Drosophila melanogaster: one gene and its partners. The protein of the gene in region 1 purifies or fractionates together with the protein of each later gene. This does not show direct contact. Each region holds a gene or a part of one and is shown in the gene's direction. Other genes may lie near its edges.

The links. Proteins that work in one complex are often made in the same cells at the same time.
Region 2: the proteins of Patj (region 1) and kst purify together in Drosophila melanogaster (affinity purification with western blotting, with the first as the bait; one study listed by BioGRID). This does not show direct contact.
Region 3: the proteins of Patj (region 1) and veli purify together in Drosophila melanogaster (affinity purification with western blotting; one study listed by BioGRID). This does not show direct contact.

What each region holds. Positions count from the first base shown.
Region 1 is NT_037436.4:1,795,907-1,804,737, forward strand, and holds Patj (patj), read left to right. Parts: upstream 1-2,896; 5' UTR 2,897-3,017; exon of another isoform or gene 3,018-3,047; intron 3,048-3,075; exon of another isoform or gene 3,076-3,103; 5' UTR 3,104-3,242; coding exon 3,243-4,793; intron 4,794-4,853; coding exon 4,854-5,918; 3' UTR 5,919-6,278; downstream 6,279-8,831. Other genes in the region: Cdc37 (cell division cycle 37), read left to right, coding at 1-90, 272-931, 996-1,268; CG12020 (uncharacterized protein), read left to right, coding at 1,459-2,443, 2,508-2,623; JTBR, read right to left, coding at 6,329-6,787; CG42676 (uncharacterized protein), read left to right, coding at 7,304-7,421, 7,527-7,661. UniProt on the Drosophila melanogaster protein: Involved in cell polarity establishment. Probably participates in the assembly, positioning and maintenance of adherens junctions via its interaction with the SAC complex.
Region 2 is NT_037436.4:3,348,197-3,353,107, forward strand, and holds the start of kst (karst), read left to right. Parts: upstream 1-1,911; 5' UTR 1,912-2,058; coding exon 2,059-2,140; intron 2,141-3,299; coding exon 3,300-3,490; intron 3,491-3,768; coding exon 3,769-3,936; intron 3,937-4,911.
Region 3 is NT_033777.3:25,063,918-25,067,522, reverse strand, and holds veli (veli), read left to right. Parts: upstream 1-1,931; 5' UTR 1,932-2,008; coding exon 2,009-2,045; intron 2,046-2,108; coding exon 2,109-2,662; intron 2,663-2,726; coding exon 2,727-2,876; 3' UTR 2,877-3,105; downstream 3,106-3,605. Other genes in the region: Stt3B (catalytic subunit 3B of the oligosaccharyltransferase complex), read left to right, coding at 1-138, 192-390, 445-516; PQBP1 (Poly-glutamine tract binding protein 1), read right to left, coding at 890-1,521, 1,582-1,645; stac (staccato), read right to left, coding at 3,254-3,345, 3,407-3,588.

The sequences.
Region 1 (8,831 bases):
CTTAAGAAAAAGCGCCAGAGCTACCAGGCGCGCCTCATGGACGTCAAGGAGCGGATCTCAAAGAAGGATGGCGACGAGGAGGCCCTGAAGGTGGGTCATTGCACCGAATGCACTGCGCACTTGTTGCTTAGGCTAATGCCTGGTCTGGGAGTTCCCTATGTTCTCAATCCATCTAATTTATTCTTATTGTCAAGCTTATGATTGACTATCATCCTAAGTGGCCATCCATCTTTCATCGCAATGCTTAATCCCTAATTTGTATCGCCTACAGAAAGAGCTCGAAAAGATCGAGGCCGAGGGCAAAGAGCTGGACCGCATCGAGAGCGAGATGATTAAGAAGGAAAAGAAAACACCCTGGAACGTGGACACCATCAGCAAGCCCGGCTTTGAGAAGACCGTAATCAACAAGAAGGCCGGCCGCAAGCCGGATGAGAATCTGTCCGAGGAAGAGCGAGAGCAGCGCATGAAGCAATTCGTCAAGGAGAACGAGAAGCTCTGCCAGCAGTATGGCATGCTGCGCAAGTACGACGATTCGAAGCGGTTTCTGCAGGAGCATCTTCACTTGGTGGGCGAGGAGACGGCCAACTACCTAGTCATTTGGTCCATCAACCTGGAAATGGAGGAGAAGCACGAGCTGATGGCCCACGTGGCGCATCAGTGCATTTGCATGCAGTACATTCTAGAGTTGGCCAAACAGCTGGACGTGGATCCTCGCGCCTGTGTCAGCTCCTTCTTCTCAAAGATCCAGCACTGTCATCCCGAGTACCGCGCGCAGTTCGACAGCGAGATCGAAGGTTTCAAAGGACGTATCCAGAAGCGTGCGCAGGAGAAGATCCAGGAGGCGATAGCCCAGGCCGAAGAGGAGGAGCGCAAGGAGCGCCTCGGACCTGGTGGTCTGGACCCAGCCGATGTCTTTGAATCCCTGCCCGATGTACGTTCTAGTGATTCACTGTATGGGAATTACTTGACTAACTTTTCATGTATTTGCTCCGCAGGAACTAAAGGCCTGTTTCGAGTCCCGCGACGTAGAGCTGCTGCAGAAGACCATTGCGGCCATGCCCGTGGACGTCGCCAAGCTGCACATGAAGCGTTGTGTGGACTCTGGTCTCTGGGTGCCCAATGCCGCTGACTTGGAGGGTGACAAGAAGGAGGAAGATGACTCGGATGACGTCGCCGGTGGCGAGGAGAAGACCGACGATGCCAAATCAGAGAGTGCAGCCAAGGAGGAGCCCATCTACACTGGCGTCAGCACCGAGGACGTTGACTGATCGCCGCCACGTTTCCATCTACACCATAGCTCTAATCTTAATGTATTTGTCCACAAGCATATTTCATCCATAGCCAGATCCTGCGTCAGTTGAGTTATTGTATATAATTTGAATAAATTCTCAGTCACACGTCAAACATTCTGTGAACACTTCTGCCAGTTGTTATACGCTTCGACTCCGAATAGAAACAATGAACCGGCCGGAGCTGGACTACTACGCGGTGCTGGATCAGCCCAGAGGCGCCACCAAGGAGCAGATTACTCTGGCCTACCGCCGCCTGGCCATTCGGCTTTGCCCACATCGCGACAAGAAGGACGAGCAGGACTTTGTGCCGCTGGCCCAGGAGGGTCGTCTCACGCACCTCTCACCCATGGGCGAGCCCAGGCAGTGGGCCTACGTCAACATGGCCTTCGATGTGCTGGGCAACGATCTGTACCGGGCCATATACGATCGCTTTGGCGAGGCGGGTTTGTTCGAGGGCGTCATGCTGCCGAACGGATACTTTCCGCCCTATCAGTACGACGGCGACCACATGAAGGTCTACGAGCGGGTCTTCGGTAGCTACTCGCCGTATGCCAACGTGATCGATGCGATCTCCAATCCACCGAGCTTGTACGCTACGCGCCAGCATGGCATTGGCGTGCGTTCCAAGGACGCCAGTACGGAGAGGATCATCGAGCTGTCGCTGGAGGAAGTACGCACTGGCTGCGTCAAGCTGATGAACGTGTGGCGCCAGGAGATCGTGGACGCCAAGGAGTCGCGGCTGGAGAAGCGCAAGCACACCTTAAAGCTGAACATTGCCCCGGGAACTACGGCCGGAACTCGCTTCTGCTTCAAGGAGGAGGGCGATCGCTATCCGGCCACCATTCCGGGTGATATTATTTTCATTGCCGCCGACAAGCCGCATCCGGACTTTGAGAGGAGAAACCAACACGACCTGGTCTACAGGCAGTCTATTGGCCTGTGCCAGGCCTTCACCGGCTTCACGTTCTTCATTTGCACGCTGGACCGGCGCCAGTTGAAGGTGGTCATTACGGACGTAGTGCAGCCGGGATACACCAAAGTGGTTCCCCTCGAGGGACTCCCCAAGTGCCGCAATTTGGATGCAGTTACGGCCATCAAGGAGGCCAACAAGAAGGTGGAGCAGTTCGGGGATCTCATTATAGAATTTGATTGTGGGTTTTCCTTTTCTGTTGGAGGTTTCAATAGTTTCTGATAGTTTCTCTGTTTCTTCTGCAGATATCTTTCCCAAGTACTTGACTCCACATATGAAGCATATCACTCGCGAATTCTTCCGCGAATTCCGCAAGCTCGAAATAGAATTGGAGGAGGAGGAGGAACGTAACATGGTTTGATGGCAGACACCTTATTGTTTTTCCGTATTTGGAACACAGATATTTGTGCGTACAGAGAAATTAAATTCAAAATTTGCGTTTAAAAGGATAGATGTTGTTGGGTTATTTCGTATAGCCATATTACATACGAGCACATGCAGACTATATTCAAAAATCTTAGATTTAATTAAATTAGCAGATGTAACGGTCGAATTTGAATTGATTTTGAAAAGGTGGCAACTGTTCCGATTATGTCGATTGCTTATCGATGCACAACGCAGCCGCTCGGCAACCCTGTCCATCAGCTGTTTGTGAAAAGAAAATGCATTTGGCATTCCATTTCAGAGATAATTAAAAATCAATTACAGCAGCAGCAGCAGAGCAAGTGGCCACCGAAAAGAGTGCATAGGAGAGGGTAAACAACTCGCTGCATCCAAACGGCACAGTAACTGATCCGAAGCTGTCCCACTTAGAGCCCAAATCGAATTACCCGTTTTGCAGTTTAGGACAAAGTGTGCCAACGCCACAACGCCCCCACCCAGAAGTCCATAGAAACGCCAGCGGAAGTGGGATAGAGACGGGGACCACGCTCCACTGACCGCACCGCGCACCGCTCGCTGACCACGCCCACTGACGCAAGATGCACCTCAGCGCGGATATTTCCAGCGCCCTTCAGCAGATCGAGGCAGTGAAGAAGGGCATCGATGAGTCCGACGACCCCAAGCTGCAAATGCAGACGGCCGAGAGCCTTAGCACCATTCTGGGCATTCTGCAGGATCCCGTTTTCCGCACCATCGTCCACGTGCAGGACTCGTTGTCCGAGCTGAACGCCCAGCTGGCTCAGCATCCGTCCATGTTGCCCAACGACTTCGACATCGATGTGGCCGGCAACCTTGTACTCAGTCTGAATGGTGGCGAGGTGATGTACGACTTTGACGAACAGCGCTCTTCCTCGCACTCCCATTCGGCTCCGGGCAGTCCAGATAAGTCCGGAGGCGTCGGCGAGGAGCCGCGCCCGCAGAGCCAGAACTCCAAAGGAGCCGGAGTGGCGGATCTCTACGCCACGGACTACGCTCAGATCCAGGCCATAGAGCTGGTCAACGACGGCACGGGTCTCGGATTCGGTATTATTGGAGCTCGCAACTCGGGAGTGATTGTAAAAACCATCCTGCCGGGTGGCGTGGCCGATAAGGACGGACGCTTGCGCTCGGGCGACCACATCCTCCAGATTGGAGACGTCAACCTGCACGAAATGGTATCCGAACAGGTGGCTGCCGTGCTGAGACAGTCTGGAACCCACGTCCGCCTAGTGGTTGCCCGTCCCGTTGAGCAGAGCGTGCCTACGCCCCAGTACGCCCTGGAACCGGGCACTGCTGTGGTGCCCACGCGCGTCCTCGTCGATCCTGCCGAGCTGGAGCGGTACCTCATATCTACCGGCTATCCGGAAATCTTTGGCGAGAGCTCCACGGCCTCCACTCCGCAGACCACCACGGAAGACGATCGTTTCGTTTATCGCGGCGAGACATCAATGCTTATTGATCCAAACATCGACCTAGAGGAATTGCTTGCCCTTCCTGAAACGGAGAAGCTTCAGGTGGAGCTGAAGAAGGATGCCAACGGCCTGGGCATCACAATTGCCGGCTATGTGTGTGAGAAAGAAGAGCTGTCTGGCATTTTCGTAAAGAGCGTGTCGCCCGGTTCAGCAGCGGACCTGAGTGGTCGCATCCGGGTCAACGATCGCATCATTGAAGTTGACGGCCAGTCGCTACAAGGCTACTCCAACCACCAGGCCGTAGAGCTGCTTAAGAAGTCTGGTCAGGTGGTGAACCTGCGCTTGGAACGCTACCTGAGGGGCCCCAAATTCGAGCAGCTGCAGCAGGCTATCGCTGCGAATGACAAGCTTCCATCCAGTGCACCTGGAACGCCTTCAAGGGCTCCCATGCCCACGCCCGTGGCCACAACGTCCTCCGCCACAACTACACCATCACGCAGCATCACTCGCGAGTTGGAAGAGGAAGCCTTACCAGCGCCAGAAGCATTCATGACCACTCCGCCGTCGGTCACCACAATGACCACCACCACATTAAGCTCCTTTGGAGCGGGTAAGCAACTAGTAGCAGTAAGGGACTCCCTAGACGGCTCCACGAAGATCATACCCACGGAAGTTGTACCCTTGGCGGATAAAACGGAGGTGAGTATTAGCTAACGGGTAACACAGCAGCAAAACGTATAGCGCATTAACATGTTTTAGGCCAAGAACAGCGGGGTGATCACCCGTCACAAGTACTACACCGATCCGGAACTGTCCGACGACGCCGAAACCGAAATTATTCGCAAATGGCAGAAGATTGTGGGCTCCGATGTGGAGGTGATTGTGGCCCAGATCAAGAAGTTCGCGGTCGGAGGCTTGGGGATTTCCTTGGAGGGAACCGTGGACGTAGAAGGAGGGCGCGAGGTACGACCCCATCACTATATTCGTTCAATCTTACCTGATGGACCCGTTGGCGTGAATGGAGTACTCCGCTCTGGCGATGAATTGCTGGAGGTAAACGGCGAGCGGTTGCTGGGTATGAACCACCTGGAGGTGGTGGCTATACTTAAGGAACTGCCGTTGGATGTGCGCATGGTTTGCGGTCGCAACAGGAACAGCTCGCTTCTCCCATTCTCTGATGACACCCTGAAAAAGCTAAGCAACAACTTTGAGAACCTGCTGCCTGCTACCGATCGTCTGGTGAAGGCCAAATCAGATGGTAGTCTGGCCACCGCGGGCTCCGTGGCCGATGGAGATTCAGTGGCTGCCGCCGCTGCTTCGTTTAGTAAGCTGAAGTCGCGCTCCCTGGAGCCACTAACCGGATTGGCTATGTGGTCGTCCCAACCGCAAATTATCGAGCTGGTCAAGGGCGATCGCGGTCTGGGCTTCTCTATTCTGGATTATCAAGATCCGTTGGATCCCAACGATACGCTGATTGTAATCCGTTCTCTGGTCCCTGGAGGGGTGGCTCAATTGGACGGACGCCTTATACCCGGAGATCGACTTTTGTTTGTGAACTCCATTAACCTGGAGAACGCCTCGCTGGATCAGGCAGTGCAGGCTTTGAAGGGTGCTTCGAAAGGAGTGGTGCGCATTGGTGTGGCCAAACCACTGCCCATGACGGACAACTCACTGAAGGCTTGCAGCAATGCGAGCACCACCAGCGAAGAGACCTTGGACGCCCAGCCATCGCCTCCAGCCTTGCCCACAGTTGCTCCGCCCGCCATGCCGCCTAGTGCCTCCATGGGAGCTGAGCCCGACCTGATTCCCGACTGGCGGAACTAGGGTGTTACGATAACGAAGAATTTCACACATTCCAGGCATTTGAATCTTTAAGCCTGTTTTAAATCAAATCAAACGCGGTTGCTAACTAATGGATTAGTTAATCGATATTTTCTACGAATATGAACAACAGGCAGTAGAATCTGAAACGATGTCAGAAACGATGCCAGAAGTACAGGAGCGATTGTTATTACCGAAGCAAAATGTTATGCATATTATTAACGCCGAATTGTGTTTGTCCCCTGAAAACAAGCATTCCACAAGTATGCAATATATTAAACCCCCTAGTATTAGCAAATGAATTTTAACATGGTATTTCCAGAGTGTATGTACTTAAACTAAATTAAATAATGTACCTTCCGTACGGTCAATGAGTATCACTTGGGGAAGGGAATCGATGATTTGGCGGAGGGCTATTGGACCCGGTTTAGCTGTCGCTCGATTCTCATGTAGTTGCGCCTGGACAGGACTCGATCGCGGGCATAACTGACCAGGTAGCTAAGTAATCCGATTACAAAGCACGAGACCTCAAATTTCAAGAAGTTCATTTGCTCGATGAGCGCCACCCGGTCGCAGCTCCTGGTTACGATCTCGCCGCTCTGGCAGCGCAGCACCTCCTTGTAGTGCGTGTGAATGCAGACGCCCAAGCTCCGGCTGACTATATCGAATTCGGAGCACGGGTGGCACTCCTGCACCATCGTGTACTTCTCATTCCGCCAGCAGGTCGAGTTGTCCTCGATCACGAATTGCGGCTCTCGGCGACGAGGACCATCTGCCGCGTAACGAGATTCCACGAACAGGACGAGTATGGTGACCATCGTTAGGGCTCCTAGTCCAAGGAGCATGTGGTGACGCTGACAGTTCTCGAGCATTGTGAAGGCGGGCAGCTAACTCTTGTATCGGATCAAGTGCTGGAAACAACCTGGAAGAACCTATGCATGCTCAGTAGGTGGATAACTCCAATACATATGGACGGGATTACTCGAAATCCTATTGCTTTGCTTTTCCCCCTATGAAATCAGCTTTACTGTGTGACCAGGCGAGAGTTTTTATTTTTGTTCAGCCGTCTTTGGAACTAGTTCTTGCTTGGCATTTAAGATTATATATTAAAAAAAAATTGAATTTGCACATGCATAGATTTCGTAATTTAGATAAAGCGTTAAATTAAGGGAGAAAATAATATTTTTCGAGGAAATCTTATAAGCCGCGTATTCCGCTCCGATTCGCGGAACTGCAGATGTGTGGCCAGACTTCGGGGAGCTCGAAACTAGTTCGCTGTTTACGAACGACAATAAACGGAGACCAAAACAATTACGGAGGACAAGCACAAAGCGGACTTGAGAAATTTGTGAAAATTTTTATAAATCGCGTGTGTGGGCGCTTTGAAAATGGTGCTGCGATCGGGAATCATAATTCCGTTTCAGTTTCGCGACACGAAGAAGCTGCTGATGATCGGGGTGCCGCAGGAGAACCGCGACCTAAACATATGGGACCTAAAGAACGTGGGTAAGCACTGGTCTGGTCGGAGAGGGGGAGGTGGCTCAAATCACGGAGCCCCCAAGCGATTTGGTCGCCAAAAATGAAATATGTCTAACAAATCCCGCTCCACAGTGCGCGCCGCCTTCGGGATCTACAACTTCGAGTTCCGGAACAAGAAGATCGGCTTCAACATCCCGGACGAACTGCTGCTGCACTATCTGGCCCAGAGGCACGACCTCACCAACTTCGTTATAGAGATCAGTCAAGGTAAATAGCGTTTAAGTTACGGCTAAGTCGCGTTTCAATTAGCGTTTAAGCGTTCGAGTGACTGCGGGCCACCAAAAGTCGCGATTTCGCGGAGTTCCGGAGTTTCACAGTCAAGTCTTGTTTGTAGATCAGTTGTGTTTATGTAGACGATGCGTGCGCTTCGCTTGTAAGTCTCTGCGATTGCCATCTGTAATAAAACCCAAATTGTAAAATGCTCCCTCTTGCAGCTCTGGACGATGGCCACGCCAAGGAGATGCTCTCCTACGAGCCCTCATGCTCGATGGCGGTCCTGAAGCACCACCCTCATCAGCACCAGCACCACGTGCCTCTGCCGCAGCGGTCAAACGAAAGCGCCTCGCACCACGCCCATGAATATGTGCCTGACTCCCAGCCCACCTCTCCGGCCCTACGTATGAGTTCTGAGGCGGTGGACTCGCCACTGGACCAGCAGGGCAACAACTCGGTGCCGGAACGCACGGATAGTTCCCACAAACTGCGCCTGGGGCAGGCTTACTCGGAACGGACGCCGGAATCGATGACCCAGGCCATTGACCCCATGGATATTATACCCAAGTCGGAGTCCGAATCGGAGGTGGAACGTCTGCAGCGGGCCTCCAGATTCCTAGCGCGCCAGGAACAGCACCAAGCCCAGCAGCAACAGCACCAGCAGCAGTTGCTGCCCGGTCAGCAGATCTTCCCCAGCTACACGCATCCTTTGCCGTCGATGAATGCACCAAATACCTCCCAACAGTCGCCTTACACACCGGGTCTGATGAGTCGCTTTAGAAGTGAGAGAAGTGCTTGCAAAAGTCTGAAATCCGAACTAAATCCTTAATAATTCTCTTAAAGAACGCGGCGAACGCATGTCCAAGGACCAAAAGGAGCTGTACGTTAAGTTTTTCGAGGACAATCCATGCATGCTATCAAACCACCGCCGGCACGATGGCCTCACTGAACCATTGTGGGCAAAATTGGCCCACATGCTGAATAGTGTTCCCCAAGGCGCCGTAAAGAACGTAGAGGACTGGAAGCAGACCTTTGACGCCTGGCGGTACCGCATCTTCATGTACACACGCTACAACTCCAAGCTCAGCATGTCGGAAACGACCGATCCGAAGAACTTCAAGCCCCTGACAGCTACCGACCAGAAGGCGTATGCCATGTGGACCA
Region 2 (4,911 bases), 1.6 Mb from region 1:
ATTTGGCTTTTAATGGAGTTGGGGTAATATTTGAATTTATTGATGAGAAAAGAGTGAAGATAGATATATTTCTGTTCATCTATCTATCTCATATTAAGTTAAGAGTATCATAAGTCTCTGTTCAACTTTAGCAGAATAAAAACGTAACTCTATAGATCATTTCCAGTTTAGATCTATTGTTTAAATTAAATCCAAGTCTGTGGCTCTTTCGTCTCCAGCTTAGCTGTTTTCTCTTTGAAATTGTTTGTTATTTTCTCTCGTTGATTTTAAAAAATTGTTTAGCATGCCAGGCACAAACAAAAGAATTTATATCACTGTGGGTTTCTACTTGTTGTGTTGTGTCAATCTGTATTCTTCTTTTCGACTGAGGCCAAAACTGAATTTTAATTTCCAGCCACTGATGAGGTAATTTTATGCGTAGAAATTTTTGACAACAAAGACCACCAATTCCCTAATTTGCCGAGCTATAGGTCTCATTATTTTCGGTTCAAAGCGGAGATGGCTGAAAAACTACGCTTTTATCAGACATATGCCATCACTCACGCAAAAGTAATTAAAATCGGTAACTACCTCGGATGTTATCTGAGTAGAAAAAGGTTGCCAAAAAAAGATGCCTAACTTCTTTTTGATATACTTTAAAGTATCATTTAATTCGGGATTTGCTAAATGATATGTGTGACTTAGCGTATGGGCCATAAAAATTAAGCATACAAAATGCTAAATGTTTATTGATTTATGCAAATTCTTACACAACTCCGAGGTTGTTGCACGCCTTGTTCATTAGCTAACCGTGTATGTGGAACACACAAGATCTAGAGAACACCGAAGAAGTTGAAAATCTATAAAAATCGTTTTCAAAGTGTTTGCGATGAGTGAAGTGTGGTGGTTTATAAATAGAAAGAGGCGCGGAATCCGAGTGTTCCTGCTCCCAGCTGCCGCGCATGTGCTGTGCTACCATGTTGTATCACAATTGAAGTAAACAGGATGCCCGGAATTCGAGCCTCGGTTCGCATTTGCCCCTGACTTTGCCTCTGCCGTCCTTTTCCGGCGACTTTAGTTGTATAAATAGTTTATGGCCAAAGACAGCTGTATGTGAGTTGGGGGATGCGTTCTATTTTGGGGATCAAGGAGGCACAGTTTTAATTGCTTTTCCTGCTAAGCCTAAAGTTATGCCGCACTCTGCATTTTCTAGGTTTTGTTTGCCACTCGATAATGATAAGCGTCGAACGTTATCGCGGTATGGTAAAGTTTATTGTCACACTGGTGTTGTTGGTTTTTTATTGTTTAGTTTTCACCTCTTTTTAATTGATTTTTCTATTTGCGAAAGCGAAGTGTTCTGTTTGCCAATTAGCCGCGAATGCCTTCCAGGTGACCTCAACGCCATTGGCGGCACATATGTATAGTAAATGATCTATTAGCGGAGTTATGACACCCGACCCGAGTAGACAGCAGATTATAACTCTTTGGCATGATGTCATTGGGAATGATCGAATTTGGCAGCTATTCTAAATGGCCCATTCATTAGTCTGCGGAATCTGATAGGGCGCCATAAATAACTTGATATTGGAAGTGCATTCCCCTCTATATATATGTATTTATTCCGAAAAACATATGTCCGAGGTATGCGGGATTTATGGACCGATAAGATAAGCCGACAGGGTCTATTGGCTGTTTGTCAAGGCAAGGATTTTCAGATACCTTAACCGTTTTCTCATACTGCTATCAGCTCGTGCGATAAAGGGAATTCACCATAGGCCAGTTGAAGCATTTTTGTTGCCACTCTTGGCATTTGGCTTTTAATTCATCTGATAAACAGAGCCAAGAGGGGGAGGAAGCTTTCCCCCACTCTACATTTTTGGGGCGTGCAAAATGTTGGGCACACATTGTTTTTAGTGACCAAACGGCGCGGGCTCTGCGAACATCTGACCGTAGGAACGAAACTTAGTGTCGAAATACAAAATAGAAATAAAAAACGAAAGATTAGCTTTAAGGAACGGCACTCGGTGCTGAAAGCCCGGATATCTTGAGAAACACCCTAGAAATCACTGATCAAAGGCCATGGAGTACAATAGTGTTCTGCGCTCGAATTTCTCGCGCAACGAGTATCGCCGATATATATCCTACGAACGCCAATCGTTGGGTAGGTTTCTGAACTTGAACTTTTCCCCTGGAAGCTCGCGATCATTATACAATCCCGAAACGAAAGTAACCTGCTCTTATCTATCTCAGTTGGGTGGAACTTCATATTTGGTTGATAAGAGCGCAAATATTTGGCAAATGAGTCAACGGCCTAGAAAAATGGTTTCGCTTTCTGCAGTTTCCGCTCCAATTTTGTTCACTTTTTAACATATTCTCTTGTCCAGTATTACGTAAAACGAACCGTTGATAAAAAAAAAGTAACAAAGTCGTGAAGCATTTTCCATAGGTATGAAGTAATTTTGGCAGTCGACAGATAAGCTCGCAGAACCACTATCGCTGGGCAGCGACTGTTTTGATTTCGATACGCTAGCTGGGGGTATATCTACTGGGTTGGAAAGTTGGTCACAGCTTGGTTTGTTTATAGTTGGTAGAGTTGAAATTATCTTACACTTGTTAGCAAAAGAAATTTAAAGATACCTTACTCTTTCATGAGGTAAAGTTACTTGAAATAAAGCAACAGATTGCTAATTTCTACATCTTAAAAATCTTTCACTATATTTTAAAATTCACTATCAAGCTTACTCAAAAAGGTGTTCACAATTTTGTTCAGCTAAGATCTAAATGTGAAACGCCAATCGACACATGGCTTATCTTAACGGGTCTAGAAAACAAAAGTACGTGATGAGGCGTTCGAATAAAAAGTGATTGTTGGTTCTTCGTTTGAAATACCCGTTGGTAATCTTTGACATTATGGGAACCCACTGATGGAATGATTTAAAATTAGGAATTACGTTTGACATAATCGAAAGACTACAAATAAACTGCCTTGGAATGTGGTTCTAACTTTAGCCAGGGATTTTTTTATAGAGGCAATTATGTTGGCGATAACTCGTTATCTCTAAATCAATAGGTTCGTACGTCACGGTCGTGCTTTCCCTATCTCTGCCACATACCTTTCGTATTTTTCCTCTATTTTCCCTATGCCCATTATTGATTTTGGTCTGTTGTCAGGTGGTTTGCCCATTTCTCTTTCCTGGAAAAAAATACAAAAAAAATGAAAAAAAATCAAAACAAACACTAAGCCTAAACGTTTCGCGTTGCATTTATATGACTTCGAACTAATCCGAGATTTTTGTTCCTCCTCCCTTCCCCCCACTTAGCATCACAATATGAGCCGGGAGGCTACTCCGCGCTGCAGACACCGACGCCTTCCAATCGCAACTCCGCCAACATGACCCAGCGGGACGGCATCATCAAGTTCGAGAACGAGCGGATCAAAACGCTGCAGGAGGAGCGCTTGCACATCCAGAAGAAGACATTCACAAAATGGATGAACTCGTTTCTGATCAAGGTGTGTAAACTACTTGAGTCACTCATCACTCCCAATACTTGTAATTTAATTACTATAAAGTACAAATGAAAGAAATGCTTTGTTTTGCTAAGCACATAAAGTTTTCATTGTTTAAATACTATAATTTCTCGATCAAAGTGATGTATTCAAATGAAAGCGCCATATGTATATGACATTCGAAATTATACATTCACTTGAAATTTTGATTGGAAGAAACTTTTATGGCCCCACCAATTTATGAATGCAACTCACATTTGGGCTTATCGTCTTCTTTGTAGGCCAAAATGGAGGTCGAAGACCTATTCACAGACCTGGCCGATGGCATCAAGCTGCTGAAGCTGCTGGAGATCATATCGTCGGAGAAACTGGGCAAGCCGAACAGCGGACGCATGCGCGTCCATAAAATCGAAAATGTCAACAAGAGTCTGGCATTCTTGCACACCAAGGTGAGATATGCCACATAAATGGCGGCGAGTGAAGGGAGTGAAGGCGTTGCAGTTGCTGGAAGACCAAAGACCGAAGACTGAAGACTGGAGAGTGTAAAGCTCTCTACGCATTTGTAGAAAGTGCAAGTCGCGCCTGCGCAGCTGCGCGTGGCCATTGCGTGCTTTGTTTGCCATATGAGGTGCACGGATCTGGCTGTTGGAGTCGGGATTTCGGATCTCGGGGAAGCGGGAAGTGTGAGGCGACGTCAAGACATGGCGAAAAAGTATATATTTAATTACCTAGCCTGGGCACCGCGTTTTCTTGGCAATATCTGAAATATTTGCATACTTTCTAATGCATTTTTTCCTTGACTTCACTTCACTTTGTTGCGCTTGGCACATTTTCCACTGCCGCGCTCATACTATACATGTGTACTTTCTTTGCACCTCTCGTGCGCATTTGATTTTAATTGAGCAAAGTGGGAGCTTAGCGTGCGACATAGTTTCGAATCTTCTGGCTAGTCAGGTGCCTCTGGTCTAATCTAATTAGAAGCAATTAAAACGCATCAAATTGTCCCACTGTCCAACTAATTCACTTTGTTTCTTAAGCGGCGAAGCAGTGAAAGTTTTCGGTTTTACTTTTCACCATTTCATTTCATTCCATTTCGTATTTCATTTGTTTTTCGGGCTTGTCTTTTGTGTGTGACACGGGTATTGAGTGCATTTTAATTGGTGTTTAGGCTTGAAAGAAGCCCGAGCGAAAGATTTACGCACAAGCGAGCATTCGATGGAGGATCCCTTGGGGACTCATTGAAGCGTTTAGCGGAGCACGACTCTTGGAATTTCCAGTCGCCATTAGGAGAACCAAAAGGCGTAGCTCCCTACTAAACATTAATGTACCAGAATAACTCGGAACGAGTCTATTAAAGCAAACGGTTTGTCGGGGAATAGGAATAAAGTTAGCTTACTGCCTTCTTATGAACTATTAAAAACGAT
Region 3 (3,605 bases), on another chromosome or scaffold:
CAAGGACATTAAGGAAAGCGATTACTTTACCGACCGCGGTGAATTCAGGGTAGATGCCGAAGGTGCTCCGGCCCTGCTCAACTGCCTTATGTACAAATTAAGCTACTACAGATTCGGGGAATTGAAGTTGGACTACAGGTAAGCGGAAACATTTCTCTCAGGTAGCGATGCACACTAACTGCCTGTTTCAGAGGTCCATCTGGATATGATCGCACACGTAACGCCGTCATTGGGAATAAGGACTTCGATCTGACCTACCTGGAGGAGGCCTACACCACAGAACACTGGCTTGTTCGCATCTATAGGGTGAAGAAGCCGCATGAGTTCAATAGACCATCACTGAAGACCAAGGAGAGAACGATTCCTCCAGCAAACTTCATTTCGAGAAAGGTAGTGTACCCTGCAGCTCCCAATGAACTTCATTAACAATCTGATTCTTTGCAGAACTCTAAGCGTCGCAAGGGCTACATACGAAACCGACCGGTTGTTGTTAAGGGAAAACGAACCTTGAAATAAACCCAAAAAAAAAATAATTGTATTGATCTTTCACCAATATATATAACTTGGTTAAAACACTTTACACATAGCACATAGTTTGGTGAAAGTGTGTCCACCGCATCCTCATGTTGAGGGCTTTAATCGCCGCCTCAAATTCAACTTTCACATACTTCCCGACTCGTGCGACACAATTTTATCGAGTTGCTGCTTTCGTAAAATTTCCGGTTCCTTCGATTTAAATCTGTTCGCGGCTCCACCATTCATTGTCTTAAGCTAGCAATTCAATAAAGCAGAGTGTACATTTTTAAACCTTAATATCTATCATAGTTATTCATTTTTATTTGAACAGTAGCGATCTACAGCTCATAAGTCAAATGGCTAGTTAGTAGTGCTAGTTATCATTACGGCGACGTCGTTGGATTTTTCGTTCCAGGTCCCTGGACTTTTGCTTCTTGGCGGGAACGAATACGTCGGGCTCGTCGGGTTCATTTTGGTTAGAAGACTTGGGCTGAACCATGTTGGTATCGAAGTTGAACTCATCGTTGGAGTTGGCCAGTTGTCTGCGAAACACTGCGGCGCTGTTGGTGATCCGTGCTTTGGGATGCGAAGGAGGTAGCCACGAAACAGTCTGTGTGGTCGAGTTATAGAAGTAAAACGCCTTGCAGCCCTTATCGTAGACATCCTTCCAGCCCGCCTCCAGTGGATACTTCCGCAGCAATCTCTTGTAGCGCTTGAGATACCTATGGCTGGGCTGCGAAAGCGGCGAGCTGTTGAACTTGTTTACGCAGTACAGCGAGCACTTGTGGTATATGTTGTATTTGTTGGGACACAGCTTGTAGCCATGGTAGGACTCGTTCACGCCGATCCGCTCCTTGATGCGGTGCGACCAGAACTTCTCCTCGACGCTCCTGCGCTTGGGCTCCGGCGATGTGTCCTCCTTGTACGGGTAAGGGCCGCTCTTGTCATCGTCATCGTAGTTCTCGGCTATAATCTCTTCTATAGCTTCTGAAATCGGTGCTGCTCCTGTGGAAAGCTGAAGTTGGTTATCCTCTTTTTGGATTCTATACTGGTCTTTGTATTTACCCGACTGTTTGGTCACAAGTCCGCGCTTCTTCAGGCGCTGCAATAGTGCAGCTGGCAGGCTCATTTTGCTATTATTCTATTGTTAGTTTAAATAAATACGGTGCGGAAATAATATCAATATAAAATAATATGACCATGGATGTACGTGCATAAAATACCACACTTTCAAGAAACTTGTTTGTTTCAAAAGATAATTTTTTAAACGAAAAGTACTGAGATTAGATTATAAGTATATGATATATTGTTAAATATAAAAAATATAACTTTTGTTACTATTTTATTAAACCAAATTATTTCAAATAGAGAATATAATTTCACGGAATGGTATTTTGTGCCCCTGAGACGTATGGTCATATTATTTTCAGCTGCTCGAATAATATTTCAGGTCAGCTCAATTTGACTGATTATTATTAAATTGAACAGCAATATGGCCGATAACGCAGAACCACTGACTTTGTCCAGAGGTAAGGGTGCATGCTAACCATTCCCAGTTGGAGGAAACTCACACCCAATGCTCTAACTTTCAGATGTCAAAAGATCGATAGAGCTCTTGGAAAAGCTGCAAGCGAGTGGCGACTTCCCCACGACAAAACTGGCCGCCCTGCAGAAGGTGCTCAACTCGGACTTCATGACCTCCGTGCGGGAGGTGTACGAGCACGTCTACGAGACGGTGGACATCCAGGGCTCCCACGACGTGAGGGCATCCGCCACTGCCAAGGCCACTGTGGCAGCCTTCGCAGCCAGCGAGGGGCACGCTCATCCCAGAGTCGTCGAGCTCCCGAAAACGGAGGAGGGTAAGACACGCCCCTATGAGCTAAGAATCGAGGGGATTCCCCTATATCATAAAACCAATACCTTGATTGTAAAGGTCTATAGACCGAGAATATATGTTTCTATTATACATCTTATATGGAAAGCTTTATCAATCTTTAATTTTTGTTTTTCAGGCTTGGGTTTCAATGTAATGGGGGGCAAGGAGCAAAACTCGCCCATCTATATATCCCGAATAATACCTGGAGGCGTGGCTGACAGGCATGGTGGTCTGAAAAGGGGAGATCAACTTTTGTCTGTGAATGGTGTGGTAAGTCATTAATTCAGTTATGTACCTTAACTCCTTAAGAACTTGCAAAATATCAATATTTCAGTCTGTCGAAGGAGAAAACCACGAGAAGGCCGTAGAGCTATTAAAGCAAGCTGTCGGATCTGTAAAGCTGGTGGTACGCTACACACCAAAGGTTCTCGAGGAAATGGAAATGCGATTTGATAAGCAACGCAACACACGTCGTCGCCAATAAGGCACATCGGCAAAAACTTGTGCCATAGTAGTTTTTGCCATTAGACCATGCTGATATGCACGTATCAAGCCCTTTACGAATAATATAATTTAACACAAATACCATTTATATATTATTTATTACAAAGAAACTCTGGAAAATTACTCTTTAATCGTAAAAAGTGAGTGTTATGTATTTGTAACTAATTACCGCGTTGGTTTTTGTTCCAATAAATGTAATTAAAACTGTCAGACAATGCAAATCTTTTCTTCATAAGTTTCAGTCCATAAATGGGGCCCATTTCAAAACGCAACTTTGTAAATTTTAGTACGATTGCCGTAGAAAATATAAAAATACAGTTTTATTGCTTTTCTTTACAACGTATAACTTTTCACAATTTAGGAGAAGGATCGGTTCTTCAGCTTTTTAAGGAAATCCTTGGCCTGCTTATCACCTAGTCTGTATTCCAAGGCACGCAGTGATTCGGAATCTGAAAGCACATAACATGTATAAGTTTCCAGTTTTAATCTGCCAAAAGTATGATTAGGTACCTGTATACTCTGGTCTGGATAGATTCATCATTATTTGCTCGCCCGGTGGTGTCGCTTCCAGATCTGCGAAAGATATATAGCTCTCTGCTATATACTGGCTCGACATGCCGAATAAATCTTTATCTTTGATGCTAAATACAATAAGACTATTCTTTTCACTTCGCTGGTGGTCACTCAAGTTTCTGCCGAATGAAGGTAT